2 linked regions of the Drosophila melanogaster genome follow. The protein of the gene in region 1 interacts with the protein of each later gene in a pairwise test. Each region holds a gene or a part of one and is shown in the gene's direction. Other genes may lie near its edges.

Region 1 (3,753 bases):
TCACTCGGCATTAGATTGATGTTGGTACGTACGATTTACGTCGTGTTCTGTAAAGTAGACATCCTCCTCCTGGGTGCCGTAGTGGTAAGCTTCCAAGTAAGGTATCACCGTGGAGTTGCGGTATTTGTCACCCTTCAGGGGGGGAATGGGTATCGGTGGGCCGGTCTTAACCGGTGCGGATCGGAACCAACTAAAAGCAGATTATAACAATCAGTTATCATGAAGTGCAATCAAGGAATATTCCTACTTACGTGTCGTGGCGTATTTCCTGCAGAGAGAGGCGTTTACTGGGATCAGCCTGAAGCATGCCGAGAATCAGGTTGGCAAAGTCCGCGTCCATTTCGTATAGCCACGCGGGCGCCTCCCACTGACCTCGCCCGATGTTCTCCAGCAGTCGGTAGATATTGTCGCCCTCGAAGGGATACTGTCCAGTGGCCAAATTGTAGCTGCAAATCCGTTAGATTAGTACAGTATATACATTTAATACATGATATTATACAAGGAAGGCTTACAGAGTCACTCCGCTGGACCAGATGTCCACCTTGAAGCCGGCGAACGTCTCGTGTCCGTTGGCAATCTCCGGTGGCTGGAAGGCCGGAGAACCTTGGCCCGTCGTGCATGTGTCGTCAGGTGCGAACAGATCCAGTTGCTCCGCCACACCGAAGTCGGATATCTTCAGCGTTTGATCCAGGGAGAGCAGCAGGTTGCCTGGCTTGATATCCTTGTGGATGACCCGGCAGCTGTGCAAGTACTCCAGGCCGTCGACTAGCTGTTTGAAGTAACCGTGCGCCTGAAACAGCGGCATCCGCTTGTCTGGCTGATAGTCAATCATCTCCTGCAGCCCGCCGACACAGTACTCCATGACCAAGTACATTTTCTGCTTCTCCTCGTTGTACAAAACATCGACCAGCTCCACGACATGTCGATGCTTCAGCTGCTTCAGCAAGGCGATCTCGCGCGTTACGTTCTGTTCGCCGTTGGGAATCCGGCGCAACTTCCGCTTAGTCAGGATCTTGACGGCCAGGCGGCACAGGTTCTCCGAGTTCATGGCCTCCTTCACCTTGCCGTACGATCCCTCGCCGAGAACATCGCCCATTATGTACTTGCCCACCATCTTAATGCTCTTCTTTTTCTGCTGATAGATGATGTCCTGGCTGTCGACGCGATTGAAGAACATATTACCCATGTCCAGCGTCACGCGATCGAGCGTCTCGATCTCGTCGTCGTCCAGCCACGTGACTTGCGGATGTGGCTGGTCATCGAGCAGCAGTTCATCCGGATTGTAGAAGCCAACGCCCGCGCCCGCATCATCCGCTTGGGCGGTGTCTTCTTTGAGCTCCACAAAAGCGTCGTCGTCCAGATCGGAGGCGACGTCATAGTGAAAGTTCTTATTGGCCAGCAGTACGGTCATCTCGTCCTCAACAGGATCCGGCTCCTCCTCCTCCACCTTGTGCTGGGCCCCTCCGCCCGTGGGATGATGTAGATGATGATGGTGTGCTGCCTTGACCTGTGCCTCCATGGTGGTCACAGTCATCTGGCCTGTTGCTCCTGCCCCTCCTGCTTCTGCTCCACCGGCTGCTTTACCTCCGACTGGCCGAGAGCTAGAACATTGCATAAACCTCCGCGGAGCCCCAATGATCACATATCGCAGGTGGCAGCCCCACTCCGGCGGATGGGAGTGGACGGTGTGGTCCCTGTGTTGCCTGTGGCTGCAAAACGTTTGGTTAGTTCATGGCTACACCTAATCCTCACCAGGCACACACGCGCTTTTATCGCTCACCTCTCGAAATACCTTTATTTTTGTAATCAATTCGCACACACTCGAATTGATTGCCGTGCGATTTTTCGAGGTCCCTCGTCGCCCGTCGTCTATTCTGCGATGTCCGCTGGAAAGGCGTTCCCCCCTTTCGTTTCACCGTCGTGCGATCTGTTTCTCATAGAAATTTGTGAATTCCTGTGTTTACTCTCGCCGTTCAATTTGTTCTTTTCCCCTTCCGAAAAATTGTTTAACAATTAGTTTTTGGCCAAAGTAAGTTCGCCGCAATACGGTCACACTGGTCGCGGGCAACCAGGGCTGCACGAGCACTGGTTGTTGTTGCTACTGTCGCTGCTGAAAAAAAAAAACATTAACGAAAAATAATAAATTTGTATTTTTCGGGACGAACGCTGGAATAACTCGAATCGAAGTGGAAGTCATGGCCGCTGGGACGACGACCAAGGAGCGCCTGGAGCGTCTGATTAACGCTAAAAAGCAGCTGGAGGCGCAGATCAACAGAAACGGACAGATCCTGGCCGCCGTAAGTAAATTCGCTTGCTCATCCGGGGATACCCTGCATCCGGGATAGGGTATGCACACTGTGGCAAGCTGTTGGTGACGCACCACCGTGGATATTCATGATCGCAGGTTCTTCAACTTGGACGGACCGCCAAGCCAAATGTTGATATATTCAATACCCTACTGTTGGTTAGGGTATGTCCACTTGGGCAAGCATTACAGCATTATCCTATGCTTTGGTGTAGGGTATATACACAATTGTATTTTGAGTACATTCTTTTGTTTATGCTGTATAGCATTGATAATGATATCTTCCTTCCAGAACGACAATGTGGGCATGAGTGGACCACTGGTGGACGCCGAGGGTTTTCCGCGCAACGACATCGACGTTTACCAGGTGCGCCTGGCGCGACAGACGATCATCTGCCTGCAGAACGACCACAAGGAGCTGATGAACCAGATCCAGACGCTGCTCAACCAATATCACAGCGAGATTGCCACCACAGATCCGGAGCTGGTGAACCGCGCCTCCGCTTTGGACCTGGACAGCGACCGTTCACCCGGTGGCGCTAATATCACGGATCTTGCTCCTGCACGCGCCATCGTGGTGGTCAATCTGGTCAGTCCCGATTCGCCCGCCGAAAGAGCTGTGAGTGAATGTAGTAAACAAGCGAAGATCACAGCATTGAGATGGGCCATCTTTACCATTTAAGGGTCTCTGTGCCGGCGATGCCATCCTCCGCTTTGGCTCCATCAATAGCGGCAACTTCAAGGGAGATCTCGCCCAGATTGGCGAGCTGGTGCGCAACATGCAGAGCCAGAATGTCCAGCTGAAAGTGAAGCGCGGCGAGCAGCAGTTGGACCTCATCCTGGTGCCGAAAACGTGGAGTGGACGCGGTCTCCTGGGCTGCAACATCGTCCTGCCGCCCGAGGCGATGGATCACTGATGTAGCTTTGTGTTTAAGCTTTTTTCGAGTTGCCTGTGCACTCCTGCCCTGCACTTTAGTTATCAGCCCATCTCTGCCAGGCCGACGAACATGGTTGCTCCAAATTGTGAAAATTGATTTTTGGACGCGATTTCAGGGCAATTTCAGCTGGAGTCATCTCGCTGACTGACAGCCGGGTCAGTGGGCCAAGGAGCAGCAGTGGAGTGACCCAAGGTGCACAGGTGACAGGCAAAAGGATGATATTGTGATTCGGTGGATTCTGTCGACATGACCGATTTTTTTTGCATTTAATTTTCATTCAATATGAAATGATGCGTAACAAAATGATGAGGCGGTTTTACTAACAAATAAGTTTTTATAGCGCTTTTACTGGTAAATAAAGAAGGATATATAATTAAAAATATAAAAAACAAATTTGGAAATTATTATCTAAAAGCATAAACGTTTTTGCAGAAGACTATGGTTTATTCTTCTTATGAACATTTCAATTTAACAGAGAAACAAATTCTAAAGAAATGTTCGATTTTAAAA
Region 2 (3,753 bases), on another chromosome or scaffold:
TTTCCATCCTTGCGGCAGTAAATACTTCGCCCAAACCAACGCTGACTTCGGCGTTTAGGTGAGCAGCGCATACAGCGTATTCTTTGTTCGCTAAGATCCGCCCCTTTGCAGTGGAAAAGCTGGCACCACTGCCGTGAAGGCGAATAAGACGACGGGTGAGCTGCTGCCCATGGTCATTAACACTTGGAACTTCACGGCTGCCAATGTGCTCGCCTGGCGAATCCTGAAGCAAAGCAAGGGTGGACTCCGGCAGACGCGGAATGCGGTAGTGGAGGGCTGCTCGAAGTGTGAGAAACTCCAGTGTGACCGAACGGTGGGCTATGGCGGATCGCCGGACGAGTTGGGCGAAACCACACTGGATGCCATGGTCATGGACGGGGCCACCATGGATGTGGGGGCAGTGGCTGGTCTGCGACGCATTAAGGATGCCATTAAGGTAGCCCGGCATGTTCTGGAACACACGCAGCACACCATGCTGGTGGGTGATGCGGCGTCAGCTTTCGCCAATGCTATGGGATTCGAATCAGAGTCGCTGGTCACGCCGGAGTCGAAGGACATGTGGTTACAGTGGACGGCTGAGAACTGCCAGCCAAACTTCTGGAAGAACGTTCACCCGGATCCCAAGGTCTCTTGCGGCCCGTATAAGCCGCGGCCGACTCCGCTGACCCGCTGGAAGGAGGACCGTGCCCGCAATGAGTATGAGATCGGACGCAAGAACCACGATACCATCGGCATGATCGCCATCGACGTGGAAAGCAACATCCACGCCGGCACCTCCACCAACGGGGCGCGGCACAAGATTCCCGGACGGGTCGGCGACTCCCCCATTCCGGGTGCTGGCGCTTATGCAGACAACGAGGTGGGTGCAGCCGTGGCAACCGGAGATGGAGATGTGATGATGCGCTTCCTGCCCTCCCTGCTAGCGGTGGAGACCATGCGGGCGGGAAAACCTCCGGCTGAGGCAGCTCAAGAGGGCCTTCGCCGCATTCTCAAGCACCACAAGGATTTCATGGGTGCTCTCATCGCCGTAGATCGGCTGGGTAATTATGGCGCTGCCTGCTACGGCCTGGCCGAATTCCCCTTTATGGTTAGCAGTCCAGCCGGAGCGGATGGGCCTACGCGCTTGGAAACGGTCAAATGCATAGGTGGTCAGGACAAAGTAAATATCGTGGCGTTGTGAGGTGGCGAAAACTGTAACGTATTTCAATAAAATTTAAATTTCGTGGAGTTCTCATCTGCAATATAAATTGCGTTATTTGTTTGTCCCTATCGGCAGCAAGATAGACGGGTAGTTTTACCGTAAATTAGCGGTATTAAGAATTATCGATATGTAAGGATCCTTACATAAAATAAATAAATAAAGTATGAGAATAGAATAGAAAAAGACAAAACAAAAACCATTCCTTCGATAGTTATGACTACCAAAATGAATAACTTTTCCTTATGGAGAAACATTATAATTGTTATATAAGTAAAAATAATGCAAGTATTAATATTTATAGTGATAAATATAATATATAAAAATTTAATTTTCACTGCATCGAGAGCTGTGAACTGTGAACATCTATGTTGCCAAAATCTCCCTCATCCCTAAGTTACTGTACCAAAAGGCGGCATTTCTAGTATTTGCGTGTTGCACGGTCACATTTTCCGCCAATTTACCGACGCCAAATACAGAAGAAAAGAGAAGCGAACGGTGCGAAAGCGGAGAGAAAAACAAGCGGATCCTAGTTACATATACCAATTCGTGTGTCGCGTGTTATCAAAACAGCCTCCAAAATTATCAGGAACGCGCAACCAGCGGGCCGCAAGTCGCTGACTAAGATGGCAATCCAACTGGACAAGATTCTGCAGGACATCGCCAAAGAAAAGGTGCTGCATCCAAACAATGGCGGCGCCAGCAAGCAGGAGCAGGAGGAGGCGTGGGCCAGGATCGGGCGTCTCAACAAGCTCTCTGTGCACGAATCGCGCTCCATCTTCATAGTGCTCCAAAAGAAGTACGAGCAGGAAAAGCTAAAGGGCAATTCGGCGTGGAAGCTCTTCAGTCTGATGCATCAGATCCATCAGGAGCCTAAAATCTCAATCAAGGAGGAGAAGTAAGTGGCGTAAATAGTCCTCTAACCGTGAAACACTAACAAAATTTCTACTGCTATTCTGCAGTGATCAAGTACCCATGGAGGAGGTGGAGGAGTACGAAATGCTGGAGGTGCAGGAGCCTGAGGACGAGGATGACGCCCATCAGTACGGACAGCACACCAACTCTACCGGCTCGGCGTCCTCCGACGGCGAAAGCCCCACAAAGTCACACAGCACCGGTTCGCCAGAAAAGGACGAGCGGTTGGCGTACGCCAAACCCAACGTCGACACTCCTCGCCCAGCCATCGAGGAGAAAAAGCTGCTCAACACACTGGCTAACAACACACCGCGAAGTAGCTCGCTGTCCGCCGCCGCAGCAGTACTGCAAAAGAAGGGAATTACTGTGAAGAAGACGCCCAGCTCCGCAGCAGCACCGAAACCGGCTATTGGGCAACAGGCGCCAGCCAGTGGGCAAAGATCAAGCTCCTCGCGCACCACCATTCAGCTGCCAGATTCTTTGAAGCGCAAACTTTCGGAGGAGTACACCTCGTCATCGGCGCAAAAAAAGCAGACCAAGACCACGAGCCCGAAACAAGCCGCTTCATCGGCAGCCGCAACTTCAGTGCACACCAGCGTTCCAGATCAACTGCCGGCGGGAAACAATGTGGTGCACACAACCACTGCCCAGCTGATGCAGGTTAAGAAGGAGCGTGAGGACAACCAGACACCACCGCCGGGTATCAACATCATCACCATTCCATCGGCACAACAGATAAACGGTGGTGGTGGGGGAGCGAACTCATCGACAGCCGCCACCATTGCTTCCACCTCGGTGGCTTCCACAAACGGCTTTTCGCCACACATCGACGAGCTGGACTTTAAGAATGACATTATCTTCGGGCCGAAGATCAACGCCGCCTCCTCCAATACACCCGAGATTATCAACCTGGGCAACTTTGACAACTCGCTGCCGCCAACCTTTTTCAAGAATCTATGCAACTCGTCGCGACACGAGTCTCTCGGGCTGTACGTGGCCAATGTGATGAACAGACTCTCTTCGCGTGCCTCCGCCAAGCTGGAGCTGTCCATCTTGCGCGCCATCCTCGATGTGCAGAGCGACGAACTGGAGCAGTAGACCGACTGATACTCGCAATTTAAATGATTACTCAGCTTACTTATTAGACAAACTAAAAAGGTAGTTATGTAGTAGGCCTGTCTGAACCATTTCTCGTATTTATCGTATTATTTTTTCCGTGTTCAAACGTCTGCGTTCTGTGCCGCCCACTTGTAAAATGTATTTACTCACAGTTCTGGTATGAGTGTTCATAGCATTTACGCATGAATTTTAAAGCTAAATTTAAAATGTATTTCTAATATTTGAGATTTCGAATTTGTCCCTATTTAAGGTTGAATATGCTACTTGATTTTAAAATACGTTTATATGCAAATAAATCTACATAACTTACTTGAACTTCGCCCAAAAAGATGTATATCCGGTTGCCATGTGTAAGTAGTCCCTACTTCGCTGGGCATCTGCTCCCAGATGGCCAGTACGTCCTCGTTGTCCACGGAGATGATCTTCATGTGCGAGGCCTTATGAGGTAATTTCTGCAGCACAGCAAAGCCTTCCAGCACTTTAGGCGGCTCTGTTGGTTGAATTTAATGCACATGACTAAA

What was found. The genes of interacting proteins can lie anywhere in the genome.
Region 2: the proteins of CG9588 (region 1) and Map60 interact in a two-hybrid assay, tested with the Drosophila melanogaster proteins (one large-scale study listed by BioGRID).

Annotation. Positions count from the first base shown.
Region 1 is NT_033777.3:13,674,972-13,678,724, reverse strand, and holds CG9588 (uncharacterized protein), read left to right. Parts: upstream 1-2,043; 5' UTR 2,044-2,195; coding exon 2,196-2,297; intron 2,298-2,597; coding exon 2,598-2,924; intron 2,925-2,988; coding exon 2,989-3,222; 3' UTR 3,223-3,633; downstream 3,634-3,753. Other genes in the region: Lkb1 kinase, read right to left, coding at 33-190, 252-446, 513-1,615. UniProt on the Drosophila melanogaster protein: Acts as a chaperone during the assembly of the 26S proteasome, specifically of the base subcomplex of the PA700/19S regulatory complex (RC).
Region 2 is NT_033778.4:9,589,205-9,592,957, forward strand, and holds Map60 (Microtubule-associated protein 60), read left to right. Parts: upstream 1-1,662; 5' UTR 1,663-1,824; coding exon 1,825-2,096; intron 2,097-2,160; coding exon 2,161-3,211; 3' UTR 3,212-3,540; downstream 3,541-3,753. Other genes in the region: clos (closca), read right to left, coding at 3,543-3,722; CG1827 (uncharacterized protein), read left to right, coding at 1-58, 112-1,180.